Rattus norvegicus: one gene and its partners. The protein of the gene in region 1 interacts with the protein of each later gene in a biochemical or structural test. Links are inferred from orthologs where the notes say so. Each region holds a gene or a part of one and is shown in the gene's direction. Other genes may lie near its edges.

Region 1 (4,006 bases):
AGATGCTAGAGTCAAAAACAAACGTGACATCTGGGGTAGGGGGAGCGTTAAAAGGAGGCTTCACAAGTAACATATGAAGGGAGTAGAGAGAATAGGATTTTAAAGCAGAAAACACAAGGAGAGGAAGAGATCACGGTTTCGTCTTTTTCTCTCCTCCCTCCACTTTCTAGCCTCACCAATCTGTTAGCCCCCCTCAAATTCAGAGGCGGGTTCAGCAAGACCAGGCTGCAGGAAACCCAGGTTTCGCTGCACTGCCACCCTGGCTCCGTGATGTAATTGTTATTTATTGAGACTCTGAACCCAGCAGAGCTGCTTAAAGAAGTGCCAGCCCATCTTCTAGTCCTGTTGGGTCAGATCCTTCCTGGGGGTGGTGCAGATTGGCGGGCAGACCCTACTGGAGACTTCGCAGTGACAAAGCAGCAGAAGATAAACCAGGTTCCTGGGTCCTGCGTCCGTCTAGGGAGCTGAGCTGTGCACTCCTCAGGTCTCCTTCCCAGTTTTCCGCTTGCAATCATGCCATATTTATTACTGGGTCCTACTAGGTGCTGAGGATGGGGTCAAAATGACCTAGAGTTATAGCGCCGTGGCTTCCGGAATTTAAGCGGGACACAGATTTCAAGGAGGTGGAAAATTGAGGGTGGGTAAAGGGCTCCAAGAGAACGCGTATTTGTGGGTTGAAACGGGAGAAAGGGAGACATTTAAGGTGCCAGCCCTTAGGTGGGGAACCTGGGGTAGGGTTAAGGCGCCCCGACTCCCCTTTGGTGCCCCCAGCGTTTGCCCCCGCAAGGGTGACATGGGCTATCGCCTGGCCCCTAGCGGGGAATCTGTCCAGGCGGCTGGCTGGACGCGGCTGGGAAGCCAGGGCGCCGGCTCGGGGAGCAAAGCACCCCCCTTCTCCGGTTCAACCGCGTCCTCCCTCTGCCTTCAAGGCCGCTCAGACCCGGACCCCCACCCGGAGCACCGGCGAGAAGGCCTGCAGACGCCGGGTGGGCTCCCGGGCTCCGGCAAGCCGCCGGGTGCGCGCTCCGCCCGGGTGACAATGGGAGGGAGGGGCAGAAAAGGGTTAAGAAACTTGGCTGAAGAGCTGAATGGCGTGGAGCAGCGAGGGGAGGGACCCGGCCGCCGCGAAGTCGGCGGCGGAGGGAGGAGCGCGGCTGCGGCGGGCGGGCGGCGAGCGAGGCGCTCAAAGTCAGCCTCGCAGACATTGCAGCAGAGCCCCGAACTCGGGAGGCGACGGCGACCGCGGCGCAGGCGGAGGACGAGCCGGCCCCAGCCCGCCGGTGCGCAGCGCCCGTGGCCTCGCGCGGCCGCAGGGCACGGCTAACCTGGGAAGGAGGGAGCGACGCGGATCGGCGGCCCGGAGCCGCGGCGGCCTCGGTGAGTGGCGATCGCGGCCCGGGCTCCGTGCGGAGCTCGCTGAGCGGACGCCGAGCCGCCCGGGCACGGCCTGGGTGCGCGGCCCGTGGAGGCGGCGGAGGCCGGGGGAGGCCCGCGGGGGGCTCCAGGGACACGGATCCCGGGGACAGCGCGCCGCCGCGCCCCTCTCCGGCTCTCCCCGGGAACTCGCGGGCCCGGCCGGCGCAGCCGCCAAGTTGTGGAGTTCCCAGCCGCGGGCTCGTCCGTGCCAGCCTTGGCGCGAGGGGCGCAGCCGCCCTGGGTGTAATGCGCCGGGACCCACGCGGGTGGCCGGATCGCGGGGCCCGGGTCGAGCTCGCCCGCCCGCCCGGCTGCCCCCGTTGGCCCCGAGCCCCGGGCGCTGGCTGCAGCCCCGCTCGGTCCTGCCGCCCAGCGGTGCTCGCGGTGGCGCCCGCGCAGCTCCCCGCCTATCGCCGGTTTCTCCCTTGCGCGGTGCTCGCCGATTCCCGGCCGGGAAAAGTGACTCGGAGAAGGGACAGCGCTGAGCCCCAGGCCCGGCCTGCTGGGCACGAGCTCCCCGCCTGCCGAGGAGGGCGAGGCCCCTTGCACCCGAGGCCTCAGCCCAGTTCCCCCAGCATCCGAGAGGGGTTCACTCGGGTGAGCCTGGTGAAGTCCTGAGAGACTGCTCTTCTCTCTGGTGCCACTGTCCTCCTTACTACTATTGTTGCTAGAAGAAACCCTCTTCCGCGGAAACATTCCCCTAGACCCTCCCATCCTTCCCAAAGTAGTTTCCAAATTTTAATCAGGAGTTGATATTCAGACGGAAGGAACAAAGGAATCCACTGTGTTTAAAAGGCGGACAGGCAGTGAGTCTGACACATGTTGATCTCTGAGGCATTCCACGAGTTTCTACCTTCCATCATGTCAGAAATTTAATTGGATTCTGGCGGTCGCAAACGAAGTATGAAACGTTAGGTAATTTTACGTTAAAATACTTTACTTTTTTAAATTAATGGATCATTTTAGTTAGAGGGAAGTCCGGACATTGTTAGGTGCAAGAACTTTTAACTCTTTTTTTTTTGATGGCACCAGGCTGGAGTTTGTCTGCTCTTGTAACTGATTGTGACACTGAGCGAAAACAGTGTTTTTAGAGAAAGAGAGACAGTCTAAAAGTAAAACAAGATTGGAGTGTCTGTGTGTCTGTCTGTCTGTGTGTATGCTTAAACGATGTGTAGTCTATCTCTTGGGTTTTGTAAAGCAGGGACTTCGGTAATTCATTCTTTAGAGTTATGAATTACATTGAACCCGCTTATTAGTGAATCATGGGTTTAGCAAGTGGGCGGCATCTTCCAGATGCAATTATCCAGTGTTTAATCATCAGGTTGCCACCTTTGTCTAAGAGACGGAGTCGACTTTTTAAGCAAACGGTGGGTGCTTCACATGCATGGCCCCTAAGAGTGGCTGCAGCCTGGGAAAATGTTGAAATCTTCCCCTTCCAAGTGAGTTGCCCTGGTTTGGCCCAGCAGTTTGTCCATAGGGTTTAATTGATCCAACAGGAACTTTCTGTGTAGGACTTAGTAGAGACAAAGGAGAGTCAGTCATGCCGCAGGCAATACCTGCAAACTGGAGCCTCACCCCAGCCTGTTCTATACTGTACTGGGAAGACTCCACACTTAAAGTACAAGGAGCGAGAAGAAAATATCCTTAAAAAGTATACTTCAAAACTCTAAGGAGGGCTTCGGTTGCTGCTTATATACAGGTAGTTGAAAACCAGCTTTCATGCCTACGAGAAGACTTAGAAATCTGAGTTTCCAAACTTTGCAGAACTTGGATTTTTGTAATTGAGATACCTGAAAATAATTGTGGGTTAGCAATGGAGAAATGTTTGTGGATGAGGCCAGGGCTCCTCTGACTCCTCCAGTTTTAAGAGCAAAACGTTGTGATTAAAAAAATAACCTATACCACCACCTAGAGTCTGTTTGTTAGTTTATTGCTCTTGGAGTTTGCTTACATTGACGTGTCCCTCGTGGTTACTGTATAGTCAAAACAAGATTAAGGAATTCAGGCTTTTCAGAGGCCATCCAGGAGAACACTTATTTAAGTAATGCATAGCAAGTGCCAATTTAAATTATCCACGACACTTTCAGAACCGAAAATTATGACATATCAACTCAAGTGGGCCAGTCTCCGAAAGATACTAATTCAAAAGAAAAAAAATTTAAAGACAGCTTCTTTTAGCTTGTGCTCCAAGGTGGCCCTGAGTGCAAAAAGATTTCCTGTGATACGAGAGATTCAAGAAATGTGACAAAATAAGTGTTCTCGGTGCCTTTTGAGGTTTTTTTTTGGGGGGGGGAGGGCGACAAAAGCGATGACAAAAGTATAGAGAGAGGGATGTTGCCATTACCAACATTTTAAACACTGAGAAGGTTAGAGAGACGGTAGACCGTCTTGGAAGCTGGGATAAGGTGTTTGGGAATACAGTCAGTGAAACAGTGATAACCTGTCCTACTGGAGGTTTGTGAGTGGCAAAGCAGTCTGTTAAACAGGAGGCCTGAGGGCGGCAGCCTCTACCCTTCTGCTTATCACATTGTCCGAGGAGGAAGTAACGCTCCTCCTCTAACCGTCTAGCCTGAAAGATGGCCTCCAAGAT
Region 2 (4,233 bases), on another chromosome or scaffold:
CTTTCTTACTGGCACCGGGATGATGGCTCAGGGGTCAGGCCTCAAGCAGTGCTGAGCAGAGTGGAGTGAGGGTGAATGCGGCCCAACAGACACCAGATCCTCTCTTAGAAGCAGGTGGTTACAGGTGCCTTTGGGCAAGCCTAAGGTCAGAGGGTCTCTTAGGATGGGCATGTTCAGAACCACCTGTCCGTTTCCACATCTCTACCTAGTGGTTTTCCACCTCATATCCTTAGGAGCAGACTCCTGCCTGCAGGGACCATCCTTGGAGTAGGAGTCCAAGTCAGTGTGGTGGTGCCAAGAAGCCTGGGTTTCCGTTCAGTGCTTCCGTCCCTAAGGGTTTTTAAACAAGCCAGAATATAATCCCTCACAGGGATGGAGTGATGTGGTGGTCCTAGTCGCACTGTGCAGGAAAAATGAGAGTTTGGGCAGGCTGAGAAGGAACGGGAGGTGCCACGCTGCCGTGGAGTTGCTATGTTGGATGGAAGAACTGGGAGGAGCCCTTTGGATAATTCGTAGGGAATTACCTGCAGCTCGAGAAAACGGAGCAGAGGAGAGACAGTCCGGGATAGGGGTGGGGATTAAGGTGGGGTACACCTGCTGGCTTCCCCCTAACCCTCAATCTATTTCCTCGGTATTGTAGCAGGCTTGAGACTCCACCTGTTAGATCCTTTTCTCCATTCATGTCTGCCAATGGATCGAATTGGAAAGGTATTTTCAAAGCATTTGTTCTGTAAACAGATGCCCAGACCCTTGTCATCCCGCACTGAATCTGCCTACCTTTCTTAAAGATTTGGTTTTCAAAACACGTAGGTAACAAGATGGCTTTCAGCATCCTTCAGTTTGGGTTGTTTTCGTGATTTAAATATACACATATTTTTTAAACAGCTAAGCGGTATCACTCGCTACGCTCGCCTGACAGTTCCACCAACAGCTAGGCTCTTACTCTGCGTGCCCGGAGGGTATGTGACCCTGTGCACAGATCACTTTCCCTGGCGGGGCGCTGTCCAGCTCCTGGGTCCTGCGTTCTGGGTCCGCGGCCCCAGCTCCAGCGCACAAGGGGCCGAGTGCACCCTCTCGCTGTCCTCTTGAGTCCGCGGCGACTAGCCCGGTAGCGCCCCACGCGGATGGGCTGCTTCACCACTCGGGCTCCAGCCCAGGTCACCGAGCCAAGGAGTGGCAGGGGCACAGTCCCGGGTACGCGCAGGGGAGGGGAGGCCGGGGGCGGGTACAGCTGGGGGCGTGTCCAGGAAGGGAATCCAGCCTGGGAGGGGCGCGGGGGGTGGGGGCCGAGCGCCGGGCCGGCGGGCAGCTGGGCCCCTGAGCCGCCCGCGTACGTCCAGCGCGCCGCCTTGCCGGCAAACAGCAGACCAACCGAGGCCACGCCCGCGCGCGCGCGCCGCGTGTCCCCGCCCGCTCGTCGGTCGGAGCGCGGCTGGCGGCGCGGTGGCGGCTCGGCACGGCGGTGGCCGGTCGCAGGCGGCCGGGCGGAATAGCAGACTGCGCCGAAGCCGCCCCAGGCGCAGGGCTCGCGGCGGCGGAGAGCGCCGGACTCATCGGGGCCCGCGGCCACCCGCGCCTTTCAATGGGCAGCTCGCACTTGCTCAACAAGGGCCTGCCGCTGGGTAAGGCCGCGCGCGCACATTTCCGGCTGCGGGCGGGGGGCGGGGGCGGGGCGGCCGGGCGCGCGCAGCGCTGGCTTTGTGTACGAGTGCGCGTGCGCGCTCGGCGCGCGCGCTGGGGACCCGTGCGGCTAACGGGAGGTGCGCATGCGCGAACTGCTGTACAGGCGTGCGCGTGCGTGTGCGCGTCCCTATTTTCCGCTGCCCGCTCGCGACTTGCGCAGGTGACAAAGGGGTCTGTGGTGTTACGACCCAGGCTGTGACCGAGCGGGGCCTATCCTCCTGGCCCGCGGCCCCGCGAGAATCCTTCTCGTGGATACCCAGGCCGGACCTAGGTGTTCCCGGAGTGAGGAGCCTGCGGATTCCGCATGGGCCTCGGGTTGGCAAATCCGGGAGCGGGTAGTCTCTAGAGGTGGCACTGAGGGGACGTGGGTGGCCTACATGCCTATCACCCCTCTAGACGACTTAGTGATGCTCAGCTTGGCCCCTGGATTTGGACCACTTAAGTTTTTTATTCATTTATGAAAGTCCTTAAGCCACAGGGGTCCTGCCTGTGGAGGGCAGTCCTTCCTTGGCAGCGTTCCCTGGCCGCGCAGCCTGGCGCACGCGCAGTGAAGACGACCCCACCTTCGGGCGGGGCAGCCCAGAGGTTTCAGAGCTCCGGAGGAGCTTTGGCCCACTGTCCAAGCGCCCCATGGTGTCTATCCCTGGCGCTTCCACCTTAATGATGACAGGGCTTGACCCGAGCTCTGCCCTCACAAGGGTACTGCCTTCTTCCTCTTAACCTGAAAGATGCAGAGGAAGAATCCTTGCAGCGTGTGCTGCCAGCAGGAAATAAGGAACTGTGGGCAGGAGGGGAAAAGGGAGGCGCCCTGTGATGGCCTACTGCACCTCTTATCAGACAAGGCCATTTTGCAGATCCTGTCAGTCTGTTTCAGGGTGTGGCGGGGTAAGGCCCTCCAGGCCTGCCTCTATCCTGGACTGGTGGTGGGTACTCCTCCCCCACACTGCACCTACACACACACACACACACACACACACAAACACACACACACACACATTATATATATACACACCCACACATATGTGTGTGTGTTTGTGGGAAGAGACTCTGCACTCAAACCAGCAGGGTTATAAGCCAGAATTTCCCATGGGTTGGGGAGGATAGGCCCAGCCATTGCCTTCCAGAAATAAGCAGGACAGCCTTCATCCTGGCCTTGCCTGTCAAACCTTTCCTGGTCCAGAGCCATGCCCCTTGTCTTGATGAGCTTTCAATTGGTTAGGACAAATTTGCCTTCTAGGAAAGAAAAGGGAAAGAATTTAGTTGTCCAGTATTCAGGAAGGTGAACCCGTGAGACAGGGTGTCAGCAAGATGATACCTAGTGGTTTTATTCCCCAGGTAGTGTGTTACCTTACTGTGTTCTGCTTTGTCACTTCCAGAATCCGAGAGCACATGCCTATTATAAAAAAGAATGCACAGGATGCTTACCCCAGTGTGGGCAGCATGTAGGACATCGGGGCTACTGCCCTAGAGTGGGGCCAACATCTTTGAGTCCTGGGGTAGCATGATCTCTGGAAGAATGATGGCAGGGCATGGTTATGGGCCTGGGCTCATGTGTGATCTCTCTGTTTCATCTGCAACATGGGGTGACAGCTGTGGGATGTGCCAAGTTCAGGGATAGCATTGTGGGTGTGTGGGGTAATATTGTTCCCTGGAACTGTATGTGTTTCCTTGTCTTGTTACTATTTAGGGTGGCAACTGTGGTTTGAGGCTGCCCTTTCTCTGCTCTGGAGCTTGGTCAGGCATGGCCCTGCTGTGTGTGTCAGCCTGGCTTCCACAGATGTCTGAGGGCACTGTGCCATGTTAGTTGTACATAATGTGGACTGGGGCCTGTAGATTCTTGGTGGGACCTTCGTGATATGCTGCTCTTGCAGTGGCCTCTGATCTCTTTTCTGTCATCTGTGGGTCTTTGACAAGTTTCAGCCGAGTGCTTCGCCTTTCTCCAGATGATCCTCATGCTCAGAGAGGTCTGGTATCCCCTTCAGGGTTCCAAGTGGGATCAGATCCCTGGCTCCAGCCTTCCAACAGCTCACTGTTTCCTACCTGCCTTTTGAACTTCATTGGTGAGTGCCCTCTGGCAAGAAACTTCTGTGAGCATTCATCCTCAGTCCTGGGTACTGCTGAGGACACCCTTGGGTAGGGCCCTGTCCGTGTGACCTACTAGCCCTGTGGCTCCCTGGCATGGTATGTGAAGCAGACCTGTCCTGAGGTCTTTTCTGCACGGTAACACCTTTACACTAGCTTTCATTCTACTAGTGTCAGGGAAGGATTTGGCTTGCATGGTGCTGGGCAGGGTGGCCTGCCTGTAAGCCCTGAGATGTAAGCTGCTACACAGGAGAAGTAGCAGCTTATGTGGAGTTAGTTTTGTAGTTCAGCTATGTCACCTGAAGTCTGCCAGCACCAGGGCCTGCATTCTGCATCCTCCCAGTCACTGCCATCAGTGACTCGCTGAGTTCTGTGGGGTAGGTATGTTCAGCCTCCTGAGTCTTTCAGCAGTCCTGCAGCAGCTGTAGCACCCTTGACCCTCAGGTTCTGAGGGTCATGATCATGAAC
Region 3 (4,245 bases), on another chromosome or scaffold:
AGGGCCCTCAATCCTTCCCCCACTACAAGACTTCCTGGGCTCCCTCCAATGTTTGACTGTAGGTCTCTGTGTCATTTTCAGCCAGATGCTGGGTGGAACCTCTTAAGGGATGGTTATGCTAGGTGCCTGTCTGCAAGCATAGCAGAGTATCGTTAATAGGAACTCAGTATTTTTTTTTTTAATTTGAAGCAGGCCACAGTGGCTCTTGCTTATGATCCCAGCCCTCACAAGGGAGTAGCTGGAAAGTTAGAGACCAGCCTAAGCTACATAATGAGACACTGTCTCAAACCTAAACAACAGAAACCTAAGTGGTAACATGAGGAGAAGACACTCTGAACTCAAATCTAAATTGGCTCACTTATCCAGAAAAGGCTCTATCATTCAGAGCTACATAAATGAGAAGCTTTGCTTGACTTGCCTGTCTTTCCAAGTGAAGTGGGAGTTCTCAACAGGGTCCCTACTTGGTGGCCTCAGGCCCCTGAACTGTGCCTCAGAACAAATGGTTGCAAAGTCTCTCATGACAGAGGCTCCCAGGTCCTCAGCATGGTGTCCCCTAGTGCCTAGAACTGTGCTTGGCTCACAGAGTTCACAGTCTATAGGAGATGTAGACGGAATGAACAGATGGGTTACTCCAGAGGTGTGGGATGGAGGGCCATGAAGGGCTCAGCGATCAGGATCCAATCCGTCTAGGCCAGTTCAGGAACTGGCTAAGCAGGGATGCCTGGCCTTCTAGGAAAATAAAAAACAAAAACAAACAAACAAACAAACAAAAACTCCTTCCCTACCTGGGTCTACCCACATAGTCCTACCTGAAGTCCCTGTAGCCACACCCTTAGCCCAGCAGTGTTGGCACAGCCTCGGTTTCCCCAAGGAAATGGAGACCATCTCTACAGCTCCCAATGCACAGTAATATTCAGAGAAGCCACCAAAAAGGGCCCAAGAACCCCACCTGATGGAGACACTAGCCATTCTGACTCCTCACTCAGGTCTGGGACAAGCTGGACCACGCAGCCCAGGCCAGAACCCAGGGAGGAAGCCATTCAAGGGGAGAAACTCCCAGCCTGGTGAGGGAGCAGCCCATAAATCAGGTCCCACTCCCACCCAGTCACTAACAAGCCGCTGCCTATCTGCCTACATGGGGTCCCTGCCTCAGGCTCCCACAGCAGCAGCCTGCACAACCAGCTGGCCCAGGCCTCCCCAGTGCCTTGGCCTCTGCCCCCACCCAGGGCCCCCATAAAGATAGGAATATTTTTTTTCTTTTAGAAGAGTGAAAAAAGATATAGACCCAAATGAAGAGAAACACCAATAAAGGAGGAGAAAGGCCTGCAGAGTCACGTGGGGGCAGAGACCAATTGGGCCTCCGGTGGCCCCCCCCACCCATGAGGGGAGGAGGAGAGGACGATCGGACAGGGCCAGTTTGCAGTCCGCCGCTGCCTGCCCGCTGCTGGGGGAAGAAGTTCCTGACAGCCCGATAGCCACTGCCCTACCTGGGGCCTGGGAACCTCCCCACCAGGACCCTGGTGCCCAGTGTCCACCCTTATCCGGCTGAGAATTCTCCTTCCGTTCAGTAAGTGAAGGCCGGGGCCCAGGCCTCTACTGGCCAGCCTCCCTCCTCAGTGCCTTGCTCCGGCCTAGACTGGCCATTGCCTGCTCTACAGAATGACCAGTTCCTACCACTCTGGGCAGGGAAAAGGCCAGGGGTCTCCCCAGGTCCATTTCCCCATTACAACACCCCTCATCTCTTCCTATGGTGTGCTACAGAGGAGTTAGGCCTATGGCGACAGACCCTAGGGTTTGAGGGTGGTTGGTGGTGTCTTAGAGGTGGCCGGGGGTTCCTGAGAGTATGGTGTTCCGTGTCTGTCCTGAGGGTCTTCTGGATTTGGAGTCTTGCTGCCTGAGTGTCTGGCTTGCCTCTGTGTAGGTATCTGAGCCTCCATGTGTGTATGTCTGTGTTTCTACTGTCAGTCAGGGTCAGAGTCTTACTTTGCTTCCCTGGGTAGATGGATGAAAGGGTGTGAGTCACTGTAAGGGTATACAGGGAGAGGGGGCATTCAGTGGAACCCTGGAAGAAAGGGCTGAGATACAGGCAGAAAGAGAGAGAGCAGCTTGGTGCCCATCCCCCATCCCACCAGGGATTTAGCCCAGAGCCCACATCATCCCAGATGCCCCTGGTGGGCTACTCTAGAGATGCCAGTCAGGAGCCCAGCCCCCATTTCTTCGTCCCCGCTGCCTACTGGCCTCTGTGCCTAGGTTCATCTGGGGACTTTTGTTTTGGTTTTGTTTGTGTTTTTGCGACTAGAAATGAAATGGCAGAGCCTCACACTGGGCGTGGTCTGCCATTGAACCCCATTCCCTCCCCAGTTTCACTTTCTGAGGGTTCCTATCTGAAGGGGATTTGTGCAAAAGCCTATATAGCCCCTATCCCTGAGGTGTAAGTGCTCAGTGTGGGGAGAGGGCCTGACACGCCTCTGGCTCTGGCTCTGTCCTTCTACGATTCACCCACGCAATTTCACTCAACACAGCTCTGTAGGACAGGAAGGCAGTGACTTGCCTGAGCTAGGACAGCCAAGTCCGTCAGATTCTGTGGTGCTTCCCTCCATGAATGTCTTGAGAGGCTCGCTGTGCTGGGTCTTCAGCTTTATGCAAGCACCCTAGTCCGGCACTCACAGAAACCCGAGCTACGGGGTGGGATCCATACCGAGTTTTGGATGGGTGGTTCTCGGCCAAGGCATAACTGCTGTACTTCCCCACTGAGGCTTTCTGGAATCCATTTCCAGCCTCCCGAACTGCCTTCCACCCCCTGGTGGCTAAGGGGACTGGGCTGGGTTGAGTAGGCCTCTTCAAAGATCTCTCAACCACAGTTACTTAACTTGAAAAGCTGTGTGGTCTGGTGGACGTTTGCAGCCCAGAACAACTGCTTTGCCACCTCACCCGCAGGACCAGTATTCCAGAGGCTCCCGTTCTCTCCCCCTCCCCCTATGCCCAAGCTAGAGGATAGCTCACAGGGGCGCGTGGGTACAGCTCCACAGCTTAGCTTTTGGGTCTCTGAGCCCATGGAGCTCAGGCTGCTTACCAGACCTTGGGATGTCGCAGAGTGGGATAACCATGCTTCCCATTTCCACACGAGCACCCTGAGGGAGACTCCTGGAAATGGGGTTCGCCCCGAACTCTTGCTGTCCACTCCACCGCATCCATTTTCAGCCACCCTCTGGAAGAGCTGGCTTCGGCAGCCTGAGTAGGCAAATGTGGCAGTGCTAACTCAAAAGTCTAGTTTCTTCCTTGCTTGTGCCTTGCCCACCACCCCACTCATGCCCTTAACCAATTTCACACGGCAAAACGACCAGCGTTCAGGCCTTGGCACCCCTAAACTGGACTAGCAAACCGGAGCTCGCCTCCTCCCTGCGCAGGCGGAGGCCCGAAGCTTCCCCGCGCACGGCACCTGACCGTATTCTGGGGTGCTCAGGGTCCCCAATTCTCTTAGAACTCGCGGGCTTCGGAGGATCGAGCTGGGACTGGAGGGCCAGGAGGTGAGGGTGAAGGCCGAGAGGGGCTGTAGAGAGGGTAGGACACAGGCCGGGTTGTGGGGAGGACAAGGACCGCGCCTCCGCCCCCGGATACCGCACGCGCGCATATAGAGCGGCCACCCCGGCCCCGCGCGGCGGGTTCGCGAAGCGCGCAGTGCGGCGGAGGGGCCCGGGTCCCAGGTGCGCCTCGAGCAGCCCCGCAGGCGGCGGGCGCGGGGAGGCGGGGGCAGAGCGGGACGGTCTCCCCGCCCCCGGCCCGAGTGGCCGTCATTGCGGGCGGGCGGGCGGGCGGGCGGCGCTGAGCCCGGGTGCGGCTTCATCGCGGGCGGCGGCGCGGCCAAAAGGTGCGGGGCTCGGTGCGGGCCGAACGCGGGGTGCTGCTCGCGGGAGCGGCCTGTGTGGGCGCCGCCGTCGTACCGGCCCTCACATTCCCGGCCACGGCTCTCGGGATCTGGACTCCCCGTCTGAGGTCTACCGGAGCCTGTATCCCCTTCTCTGTACCCCGTCTCCGCCGGAGGTCTCCGCCCCGCGCCCTCGACCCCGCTGCGCCCTCCACGCCCGCTCTCGGCCCGACGTCTCGGCTCGCCGGTGGGTGCCGTCGCTGCGTGGCTTTGTCTGCGGACCCAGCGGCCCGGCTCCAGGGTTCTCTGCTTCTCAGGGTCGGCCCCTGTCCCTCCACGGGGCCACGCCTTGGAGCTCTCTGCCCGCGTGTCTCCCCATC
Region 4 (4,162 bases), on another chromosome or scaffold:
CATCTGCGTCTCCACCATGTCCAGCATCACCGCCCTGACTCCCAAAATGCACTGCTCTGCCTCTATTCTTTGGTGGTTAACAGCCAACTTCCCTCCTTTACTATCTCTGCCTTCTTCTCCCTCATCCCTATTGCTGTGCCATCGGACTTGCACCTGCACGGCTTCAGACTTCATCAACTTCCCAGCGACTCTCTCTTCATCCACTTTGCTCCCGAGTAACAGAATTGCCACCTCTTCCCACAGTGACTTTCCCGAGATAGCAGGAATAGTATCTTCCAAATTCAGGCTTTAAAAGTGTCCCATCGCCTACAGAATGAGACCCAACTTCTTTATTAAGGCTTGATGATTGGTTTCTTGGTTTTCTGAGTATCCATTACATTTTTTTTTCCTACCACCAGATCTACCGGACTACCAACAAAGGCTCAGCTCTCTGGTCATAGTCTTAGTACCTATCCTCCCATTTCTCAGCACCCCTATGCTTCTTTCCTACACATCTTCCTGAAGTCTGATGAAGAAAAAGATATTTTATTACCTTCTGTAGATACAGTAAATGTGGGAGGGAAAGGTATTATAAAACTCCTGGCCTTCAAGGCTCAACTCTGTAGGGCTTCTGTAGCTTTCCCCTTAGAGTGCTCTTCAGTCACAGTATTTATCAACCAGCTCAATGTAAAATCTTTGTCAAAACTTAGATGACTCAACTCTAGGAGGAGCTAAGCTCTTTGCCTAATAAATCTTGATGTCTGGGTACAAGGAATTTGCCCAGACATAATGTGGCCTCACACTCCCTTCCAGGCTGGAAAACAGGTACTAGTTGAACACCACCCCGCCTCCAGAACCTCTGGCTGGAAGAAATGTAGGGAGACACTACGTCCTGCGTCATCACGTGCTGCGAGGAGGGTGGGGCCCTCCTGGGAACCGTGAGGGGCGGGGCTGAGCAGGTGGGGCGGGGCTGGAGCCCGGGGCGGAGCTGCGCGGGGTCGCGACAGCGGAGGAGCGGGCTCGCGGCGGGCGGCAGCGCGTGTGTGCGGTCCCCTCGACGCTCGGTGCCCCACGCGTGTCCCGGAGAGGTTCAGCCCGGAGCGACCCGGAGGACGGACTGGTAGACTCTGGGGTGGCAGCCTTGCTGGGCTTTGAGCAGCGCGGGCTTATCGCCTGAGCAGGGAAGCCCTTGAGCACTACGGCTCCTCCTGACCCTCGGGACCGGGCGCGGCTGGCTTGCGGGTTTCTCCTCCGCGGCTAGCCCGGGCAGCCCCGCGTCCCCTCTGTCGCCCGCACCTGCGCGTCGCGGTCGGTCCCGCCCTCGGTGGCGGCGGCTCACCTGGGCGCAGCGCGGGCAGGGCGCCGCCTCCGGGACGCAGGTGGAGCGGGCAGGGCGCGGGCACCATGAGCAGCGGCGCCAACATCACCTATGCCAGCCGCAAGCGGCGCAAGCCGGTGCAGAAAACGTGAGTGACGGCGGGCAGGCGCGCTCTGCGGGTGCGGGAGGTCCCCACGCGTGCAGCCATCCGGGAGCAGGGGCTCAACCAATGCATTAAAAAATTCGTCCCTGCTTTCGGGCGCCTGCACCTTCGCAGCTCAGCGACCTTCCCTGGCCCTGATTCGTTGACAGCTCTGACCTACCTAGTGCCTCTCTGGCTTAGTTAGTTAAGCCTGCCTGGAAATCCTCCACTCTAGATCTCCACCGTGGTGAGCTTTAGGGGACAGCTCACTGAGGTGAGAAGTTGGCCAGAGCTAAACACGTGCCGTCTTGAAGGAGGGGTCCTGGCCTCTGAGGGAATTTCTTTCTGTTCTTAGCGTCTAGCTTTCTGTTTTGCTCTTTCCTTTACCTCTAGGCAGCGATTTTGCCGGGCTCAGAATAGGCGCAGAGTTGGTAGCAGGTTGGAGTGTGCCTTGGACAGGTGCTCGGGCGGCTTGGTGGCATTCATAGCCACTCTTTAGTGACACTTTCTTCCTCCTTTTGGAGTGCTTGTAGGGTATATAAAATTTTTTAAAAATTAAGGAGAGGAAAAAGAACTGGACTGACTTCTAAGTTATTTCTACTGTCTACCTGTAATTCATCTCCCCTTGCTTATAAAGTTTTGCCGATTCTAACAGTGATTACAGACTTTGGTCTTTGTTTCCATGGGCTATTTCTGTGAGATGGGAGATATTCATAAACATTTTTTTTCACAGAAAAGAGATCCGAGCATGAGACAGGGTTCCATTTAGGAGTTGGGTGTATTGATGCATTCATTCATAATTATCTTGGAGTTTCCACAACTCACCATTTCTTATTTTTTTAAATAAATTATTTTAGGAACACTTTCAGGTAATCAGTAGTGTGCATTTTGCTTGAAACCTGACAGCCATCACCAAGTGAACCAGAAAAATAAGATCTTAAGATTTATACACTGTTTACAACTAGTTACTAACTTAGAACTTGGGTTATTTGTGGATTTTAATTCCGTTAAGAATTTCAACTGTCATAGTTCTTCAAATCTTGACTTAAAAATTAATTTTAAGAGGAGATGCTTGTGTATAAATAGTCTGATCAGAATTTGGAAATTTTATGGTACACTTTAAAGGACGCAAATATCGTTGACTCAGCAGTTTTCCACCTCGGCAGTTCTTTGGACCCCGGCTTTCAGCGCCTTGTTATTTTGTAAAATGGTTTCTTTTTATTAAACCATGTTTGCTCAATTTGACTTTGTTCCTGATGGTTAAAGTTTCAGAGGCTTTTAAGTGCTTGTTCCCTGTTTTTGTTAATAGTAATACTAACTTAGCCTGAGATGAAAAAAACTCAGATGTTATGTACAAGGGCGTAAAGTCTGAAGCTCCCCGTGAGTTTTTTAAATAACTGATTTTCTCTGTGTTTCTTAAGGATGTAAACTGCTTTTCATACAAAGGTAACCATCTCAGAGGTTGCTCTTTATAACGTTGGATATCTTTAGTTTCCAGTCAATATAAAGAGCTTCCTTTTTAACACTGCAACACTTCCCCTTAGATTAAGATACCTTTAACTGTATTGCCACTATTTGTGTTTGATAATTTCTCACAACTGAACTGTTGTCCCCACTAACTTATATTTTATTTTACATGGTTCTTGACTTCTGTACTGAGCCCCTTTAATCAACTCTAACCCTTCATAGGCCTTAAAGGTCACCACTTGCTTTGTCGAAGACTTTTAGTGCTAGCACTTAGATCCTCTAGTGAAAGTACTTACATTTTTCCCTCCGAGTAGAAAATAGTGAACTTTATAATGCACATAATCAAAGTTCATCCTTAACAATTAGATCATTGAGCTTTAATATGTCTTTAAGTTAAACTACTTCTATGCAGTGAGGCCCCCAAATACCTCAATTTTAGGAAAAACACAAAGATGTGTTGACCGTGCTTTCTAATTAACTCGAACCCTTCAAGGGAGAGCTGTTTTATAAGGAGCATGTGCACTGTAATTCTACAGTGTTAAATAATGTCATATTTAGACAGTTCCATGAAAATTTGGAGTAAAGTAGGTGACATGATTTCAACTTGAAGCTTGTTCATTCTTCAAATGAGGATCTAGATACAAAATAAGCTCCCTCTGGTGGCTGGTCTCACCATGACAGTTATCGGGAGCAGGAAGTGAGTTTGAAATGTGTTCAATTTCATCCCCGTACAGTGTTTCATATGCACTGCCCTGTGAACAACTGTTTCCTTCTTCAGTGCAGTGAAAGTTAGGAGATTAAGAGATCCAAAGCAGTCTTGCACCCAGTCCATATCCTCATCTTCAAGGGCAGCATTTCAAAGACCAACCCGGGGACAGAATCTTCTTCGATGTTTCTTAGCTAGTGGTCCCACACTTCGTGTCTGCTTTCAGTTAAATTCCGTTCTTGCTTATTCCCTTCGGAGAGGAAAATGCTGTGTGGGATCGTTTAGCTGTTCTGTGTCATGAAGATGGCGGAATGAGGCTCAAACGATGGAATGATCTACTCCAGTGATTAAAACTTTAAATGCGTCTTTGAAGCTTTACTAAGACAGAAAAGGTCCTACTGCTGTTGTAGTTTAGGATCATCAGCAAATAATAGATGGTCAATAAATACACCCTGCAGTTGTGATGGCATTCAAGCCAGCCAGGGCAAGGTGCCAGCTTTCAAAGGTCCCATGATCTGCTGCTAAGGTACACACGGATAGCAACCTTTAC

What was found. The genes of interacting proteins can lie anywhere in the genome.
Region 2: the proteins of Nrip1 (region 1) and Ctbp1 form a complex in vitro, tested with the Homo sapiens proteins (2 studies listed by BioGRID and IntAct). The link is inferred for Rattus norvegicus from reciprocal best matches to the Homo sapiens genes NRIP1 and CTBP1.
Region 3: the proteins of Nrip1 (region 1) and Nr5a1 form a complex in vitro, tested with the Homo sapiens proteins (2 studies listed by BioGRID). The link is inferred for Rattus norvegicus from reciprocal best matches to the Homo sapiens genes NRIP1 and NR5A1.
Region 4: the proteins of Nrip1 (region 1) and Ahr form a complex in vitro, tested with the Homo sapiens proteins (2 studies listed by BioGRID). The link is inferred for Rattus norvegicus from reciprocal best matches to the Homo sapiens genes NRIP1 and AHR.

What each region holds. Positions count from the first base shown.
Region 1 is NC_086029.1:28,463,606-28,467,611, reverse strand, and holds the start of Nrip1 (nuclear receptor-interacting protein 1), read left to right. Parts: upstream 1-1,199; 5' UTR 1,200-1,377; intron 1,378-4,006. UniProt on the Homo sapiens protein: Modulates transcriptional activation by steroid receptors such as NR3C1, NR3C2 and ESR1. Also modulates transcriptional repression by nuclear hormone receptors.
Region 2 is NC_086032.1:81,678,670-81,682,902, forward strand, and holds the start of Ctbp1 (C-terminal-binding protein 1), read left to right. Parts: upstream 1-1,426; 5' UTR 1,427-1,582; coding exon of another isoform or gene 1,583-1,622; intron 1,623-1,733; exon of another isoform or gene 1,734-1,843; intron 1,844-3,631; exon of another isoform or gene 3,632-3,743; intron 3,744-4,233. UniProt on the Homo sapiens protein: Corepressor targeting diverse transcription regulators such as GLIS2 or BCL6. Has dehydrogenase activity. Involved in controlling the equilibrium between tubular and stacked structures in the Golgi complex.
Region 3 is NC_086021.1:42,893,240-42,897,484, reverse strand, and holds the start of Nr5a1 (steroidogenic factor 1), read left to right. Parts: upstream 1-1,438; 5' UTR 1,439-1,567; intron 1,568-3,820; exon of another isoform or gene 3,821-4,112; intron 4,113-4,245. UniProt on the Homo sapiens protein: Transcriptional activator. Essential for sexual differentiation and formation of the primary steroidogenic tissues. Binds to the Ad4 site found in the promoter region of steroidogenic P450 genes such as CYP11A, CYP11B and CYP21B.
Region 4 is NC_086024.1:57,996,095-58,000,256, reverse strand, and holds the start of Ahr (aryl hydrocarbon receptor), read left to right. Parts: upstream 1-1,355; 5' UTR 1,356-1,383; coding exon 1,384-1,445; intron 1,446-4,162. UniProt on the Homo sapiens protein: Ligand-activated transcription factor that enables cells to adapt to changing conditions by sensing compounds from the environment, diet, microbiome and cellular metabolism, and which plays important roles in development, immunity and cancer.